2 linked regions of the Danio rerio genome follow. The protein of the gene in region 2 purifies or fractionates together with the protein of the main gene of each other region. This does not show direct contact. Links are inferred from orthologs where the notes say so. Each region holds a gene or a part of one and is shown on either strand. Other genes may lie near its edges.

Region 1 (3,660 bases), on a different chromosome or scaffold from region 2:
AATGTGCTGATGACGTAATTCTTTCTGCGCGAATGGTGTGCTCAGTGGTATACAATTACATATTTTGACAGGCAGGTATGACAGCCTATCGTAATGTTCGGACCTAACATTTTGATTGGACAAGCTTTTCTTTTAATAAATTTATATTATAATCAGTTATAGGACTTGACATTAACATCCGCCAACCTGCCAAATGTGGATAGATTTCAGCTGTGGTGGATTAGATCGCCACTCCCGCTAGCGACTTTGGCTGGTTGAACATGATTTTTAAATTGCTAGTGCTGGCTCGTCTCTAAATTTAGAATTTTAATTTATAATTTGTCAATATGCATGCAGATGTGATCTTAAATCGAGAAGCAGCATGACTTAATTGTTCGTGCATGCAAAAGAAAGCAAGTCAATATGAGATATTCAGGCGCACAGTTAGACACAGGAGATCCTTACTCACTAATGAGGGCTTTAGTGTTGGTCGCACAGTTGATGTGATGCGCGAGTGCTTAAAAGCTCCCGTGTCCCGTTTCCTTGCATGAAGCAACCATGCCTGAAAACAAAACTGGTGCGATCGGTTCTCTTTGAAATAGACTGGGTAAAAAAAAGCAATGCTCGTGCACCCACAGTCCTGCTGCTTTTTGAGATTTTTTATTAAATTTTAAACTTTAGTTGATGTGTAATGTAGCTGTGCAAACATAAACAACATTTCTAAATGTATTTTGCTCAAAGTTCAGTGTAAAGGGAGACGTTAGCTTTTACAGAGTTAGCTTAGCATAGCCTACAGCGAACGAAGTTTGAGGACTAAAAAAAAAGCATCCGGGTTAATGAAGTCATAAACCCTTCAGGTTACACACAAACACCCCGTCCAGCGAAGAGAAATCCAAATGTTTTCTGACTGCAATGGTAAATGGCCAATTTTACAATCTGACAGATTTATTAGCTGTTAACTTTTGTCTGAAATGTTGTAAAACAGTTTTATGCCTGGATTTTATAAATAGCCTTGCATCTACTAACACGCACTGTATTTGAAGTCTTTGGAAGTGATTAGCGTTTTTCTCCTGTAGAAAAAAATCTCATAAAAATAACGCTAAGCGGCTCAATGTATTACATCAGTGTTCTAAAAGACTAAACACTTTATTGATATAATATTCAACCAAGCACATGTGGTCAGAACACAAACGAGTCCTAGGTGATGAAGGTAAAAGTGTTTCTCCCCAAGAAAAGCCCGTCTAAACAAAATGCTAGCAGGCATCTGTAGCTCCGCTCATGCTCCAACTCTTTTCCCTTGTTGGGTATCCCCTGGTCAGTGCGATAATGCGTGAACAAAATAGCGACGCTTGGCCATACGGCGCCTACTTGTAGCTTCTTTTGCGCTCTTCAGAAACCTATGATTATGTCATGGATACTATGTCCATATTTTTTGGTCTATGGTTGAAACAGACGTTTCTTGGTGATGTGATCTGCAAATTACTAAACATTGTTAGCTGACCAATCAGAGCCTCTTAAAATAAAATACACTCTGGACTACCCCTTTAATAGAAGATTGACTCTCCATATACTCAGCCAGGACCGATTACTGTGTATAGTTTTAGATAAATTAGATTTTTTATTTTTTTTTAAATGTCAGTTGTTTTTTTTAAAGAACATTTTTGTTGAATAATAAGTGCATTGCTATATTTTGCTCATTTTTACACATTATTTAAAATTTGTGGCAAGGAAATAATTAGTTTGGTGTGGCCAGAGAAAAGTGTTGAGCGCTAAAACGTCATGTAAAATGCAACAATATGAAACCCTAACACATTTGCTCATCCTCATTGAGCAAAGTCACAACACTCAAAAAATGAGGAGGCATGTGGACATAATACATAATATAAATCAAGTAATTTTAGGATGCCAAAATCAAATTTATGCATAGAAAAACTATTTTCCCAACAACAAAACTGTGGCTAGTAAAAATGCCAAATGGCTAGTAACGTACAGCAGTTTAGTTTAGTACGCTGGTCAGATAATAAAATGGTGAATTGTTTAATTGTGGGTGGGCCGCAGGTAGATAATATAAACATGTTTTAAGCATTTTTTTATATGACAGACTGGCACAAATATGCGGATTATATGTGGCCAGACTTCCAAAGACAGATGCTGGGGTTAGTAATGTTTATCATAGTTGCATAATTAATGCTAATGTCACTGAAACCAGATGATATAAAACCATGATTAAATGCTCTTGAACCCCTTTTTCAGTTCAAGTCTACATCAGAATTGTTTGTAAAAATGATACATAATGGACATGGAGATGAAGTTAGACAAAATTAATACAATTATCAGAATTTCCTCATAACTAAAGCTAATTGGTGCTTATGTTGTGTGCATTGATGCTCAACACAATCTGTGAATCTCAAAAGAAGTCAAGGTTCTAATGAACCTTTAAAACAGGCATCACTAAACTTGTTTCTGGAGGGCCGGTGTCCTGCAGATTTGAGCTCCAACCCTAATCAAACACACCTGAACAAGCTAATCAAGGTCCTACTAGGTATACTTGAAACATCCAGGCAGTAGTGTTGAGGCAAGTTGGAGCTAAACCCTGCAGGACACCGGCCCTCCAGAAGCAAGATTGGTGACCCCTGCTTTAAAACAAAGAATTAGAATAAGCTAATTATTGTGATGATCGCTATATCAGCGAAAACTGTAGGTGCGGCTGGCATTTGGGAATTTGTATAAATTCACAATACTAATGTGAATACATTTGGACCACTTGATTTAATGATTGCTATTAGGATGTGAAGAAACTTTCAACCAGCGTTACTCAGTTTGATCTGAAGACAATCGCCTATTGCACCTTTAGTAATTGTAATAGTAATTGTAATAATTCTTTCAATGATGACAAAAGATGTGGCAGTGCTGCTATCATGTCAGATGACTGTTTAGAAAATGGCATGAGATCACATGAGCTGTTCTGTTTCTTTCAGTGGGCTCCTCGACGGCATCAGTGGCCCCTGTCATGACCTCAGGATCCAGTGCTCCAGCAAGCCTGTCACTGAAACCTCTAGGAGCTGTTCCTGCTATAACCACAGGTACCCACACTTATTTTCATACACCGATTTATTTTTTTCAGTGGGTTTACATACATCAAAGGTAAAAAAAAAATAGTTAATGATATACATTGTAGCATTTTTATCACATTAAACTAGGGTTGTTCTGATTATAGAATTGAAAATACTCGCTTATACTGCAAACATTCTGGTATCGGTGAATATTTGAAACCATACAGTGATCCATCTGTTTTAAATGAGACATATGCCTGCTAGCTTTGCTTAACACTGCAAACCTGGAGTCAGTTCTTGCTTAGAATGCAAACAAAGGAATTTGTGCTTTGTTGCCACAACAGCCACTGTTAGAGCAGAGAAGAAGAGAGCAACAGACTATTTTATTTTTATAGATTTCTGAATTTTAAGCTTTAAAGAAATTATTTTTCACATTTATTTTTATATTTTATTTTTTTTTTTCATTTTATAAAGTTACACTGTAAAAAACTTTTCAGTTTATGTTTGATTTGTAGCTGAACTTGTTTCAGTAAAGTACCGTGAATAATAACACTGTTGAATGTCTGATAATTAAAATGACAGATAATGAAAATACACTAGTTCACTGTATGTATTTGTTCATGTTTTG
Region 2 (3,181 bases):
ATTATTAAAGCCAGATTGCATCATACTTCTTATATTCATGTTTGTTGTTCAGTCCCTCCAGAATTTTGAATCTAGTGGTTCTTGAGATCAAAAATATACAAATTGTAAAATGTTTGTGTATTTTCAAAGCATAACACAAGAATTGAAGTGCACAATGTCATACGTTTTGAGAAAGCATCACAAAATCTGTCATTTTACGCCACAAATATAAAAATAATTTTCCCAGCAAAATCCTCGAGGGGCAGATTGTGTCCCACATTGAATTGCATTATATTCCTTTTTTACCTGGGTTTATGTACATTCACTTACAATAAATTACGGTATCACTTTATTTTGATGGTCCCTTAAACGCATTTTGTTGAATTGAACAAACATTGCATCTACATGCCAGTTAATTCTCATTAGATTATAAGTAGACTGTTAGGTAAGGGTTAGTTTAAGTTGATATGTACTTGCAAAGTTTTTATAGTCAGTTTAATGTCTGTTGAAACAGCAGTATCAACTGATATTAAGCAGACAGTCTACTAATACTCAAATAAGAAATGATTGTCATGTGGTTGCAATGCAACTTTGTCAACAAAATGTGCAATAGGGACCATAAAAATAAAGCCTTACCTAAATTAATTCCTAAATCATAAAGAGACTTTCAATATTTGATCAAATGTTTTTTTTTTTTTTTGCAAAAACCATTTTGCTTAAAGATAAAAAAAACCTTTAATACTAGTACTAATATTTATGAATGGATAAATTAATTTATTATTCGCTTTTTTACGATTCGCTTTTCATCAAACACATTTTATTAAACTTTTAACACTAGTACTATTACTTTATTTATTAATTTATAATGAAATGCATAAGATTTTACCAGAAATTAATAAATGTTTATCACGTAAAAAGAAAATTATTAAATGATGTAAAAAGGGAAAATATTATATAATATAGTCCCCATTTATTTTCCATGATATAAAAAATAAACAACTAAATAACTAGTATACATTTATATTTTTGTTTAGGATTTTGAAGAGTACCCAGAGCACCGGACGCATTTCTTCTACCTGCTTCAGGCGGTGAACTCTCACTGTTTCCCTGCATTCTTGGCCATACCCCCAGCCCAGTTTAAGCTTGTGCTGGACTCCATTATATGGGCTTTTAAACACACTATGAGAAATGTGGCAGACACTGGTGAGAACACTGATATCTTATGTACCGTAATGCCTAACTGATAAACCATAATCATTAAGCATAACATACAATGTGAAATGTCCTGCAGGCCTGCAGATCCTCTACACTCTGCTGCAGAATGTGGCTCAGGAGGAGGCAGCGGCTCAGAGCTTCTATCAGACATACTTCTGTGACATCCTTCAACACATCTTCTCTGTCGTCACGGACACGTCACACACAGCCGGTCAGCTCCTATCACTTGCTCCTTAAAACACTCTATTAATTATTTTAAATCATTGCAAGCCTGAAATAGTTTATACCCCTGGCAAATTTTGACTTAAAATTACTTTACAGAAGCGACATGGGCTTCTCCTAAAAGACAATAGGACTATGTACAAGAGGCATCAAATTCTCAGCTTTTATTCACATTCGAACAAAAGCTTTAGGTCAGAATTTGCTTGGGTATGAATAATTTCAGGCTTGACTCTAGTTTTTATAATTCAGTTCTTATATATGTCATTTTTTTTTTTGCATTAAAACTTTAGGTTTAACTATGCACGCATCAATATTAGCGTACATGTTTAACCTCGTCGAGGAAGGAAAAATCAGTACAACTCTGAACCCATCAAACCCAGTCAACAACCAAGTGTTCATCCAGGAGTATGTGGCCAACTTGCTTAAATCAGCTTTCCCACACTTACAAGAGTGAGTATCCCACAATGCACCTGAGCTGATGCTTCACAAACCTGCATCTTTTGAAAAAGGAATACTAATGCGTTGGGTTTAGAAGGACCCAAGTACTATACAGATTTTCAGAGCATTAGGAGGTTAATAATAAAATCAGTGTCAGTAAATCCACTAACTGCAGTTGTTTTGGTGATAATTGCATTTGGTTGAATGTCATGCAACACATCTCTCAGGTAAAAGCTTGTTTGTTCTCAGTAGACATCTTGCTGTGAGATTAATTAATACAGTTTTAGTTCTGCAGCAACAGTCTGCAAACTGTTCATGTCTAGTTTCATTTCCAATCTGACTGTATGATTGTTTTCTTCCTCTTTGTAGTGCCCAGGTAAAAGTATTTGTGACTGGCCTGTTCAGTTTAAACCAAGACATCGCAGCATTCAAGGAGCACTTGAGGGATTTCCTTGTACAGATCAAGGTGAGCTGCAAACCAGTTGAGAGCCTTAATAATCTCTAAATAAATTGGGTTGCCTTTAATACAATGTCAGTAGTAATGACGTATTTGAGCAGATGATAGATGAGGGTGTGAGTGGAGGAAATGGAGATGGTGTGAGGAAGCAAGTGTGCTGTAACTTTGACCTTTTAAGAGACCATGAAGGGTGGTGAAACTGTATGGGTCAGCTGAAGTGCATGGGAACAGAGTGTGTGTGTGTGTGTATACGTACATGTTTTTATATCCTGAGCGTTATTGTAGAAAATTGAAATCAAGAAAGCCAGGATAACAGAAGAAGCATGGCTTGACCTAGTTTAATTAGGTCCTCTAGGCTTAGTCCATTGCACATTTGCTTATCCAGGATGAGAACAAGCCGCTATGTCAAACCTGATGTTGATAGCCAGGATGTGTGGACATTCACGCACATGTTAACAGATTACAGGATCGATTACAGAATCAATGGTAACAAATATTGATAAAACCTGATGTGAGTTAAAAAATGCCTCTATTGTCCACCAATCTGGAAACTCCCGTTGTCTGTTTATTTTATTGTATTAAGTTTATTTAATCTTTATCAGTATAATCATTTATCTATCATTTCCATTTATACTTTTTTTCTTCATAATTGAGACTATTTAATCTTTTATTTGAGGTTTCATCAAAAAAAAAAACTATATAATAATAATAATAATAAGTAATACAAAAAAGATATGTAAAACGCATTCATTTCTAGTAGCATTGACATTAAAACTAACATTATAAATCACTAGGATTAATCTTAGCCTGGTTGTTAGCCTGCTCTGGTGTAGGCTAGCTGCAAAGAATAACTTAATTTAGCCTGTCAAG

What was found. Proteins that work in one complex are often made in the same cells at the same time.
Region 1: the proteins of xpo1b (region 2) and nup62l purify together in Homo sapiens (affinity purification with western blotting; 4 studies listed by BioGRID and IntAct, with this or other methods). This does not show direct contact. The link is inferred for Danio rerio from reciprocal best matches to the Homo sapiens genes XPO1 and NUP62.

What each region holds. Positions count from the first base shown.
Region 1 is NC_133189.1:11,208,236-11,211,895, forward strand, and holds part of nup62l (nucleoporin 62 like), read left to right. Parts: intron 1-2,887; exon of another isoform or gene 2,888-2,957; coding exon 2,958-3,062; intron 3,063-3,660. UniProt on the Homo sapiens protein: Essential component of the nuclear pore complex. The N-terminal is probably involved in nucleocytoplasmic transport.
Region 2 is NC_133192.1:25,333,438-25,336,618, forward strand, and holds part of xpo1b (exportin-1), read left to right. Parts: intron 1-1,013; coding exon 1,014-1,182; intron 1,183-1,270; coding exon 1,271-1,405; intron 1,406-1,706; coding exon 1,707-1,866; intron 1,867-2,223; coding exon 2,224-2,320; intron 2,321-3,181. UniProt on the Homo sapiens protein: Mediates the nuclear export of cellular proteins (cargos) bearing a leucine-rich nuclear export signal (NES) and of RNAs.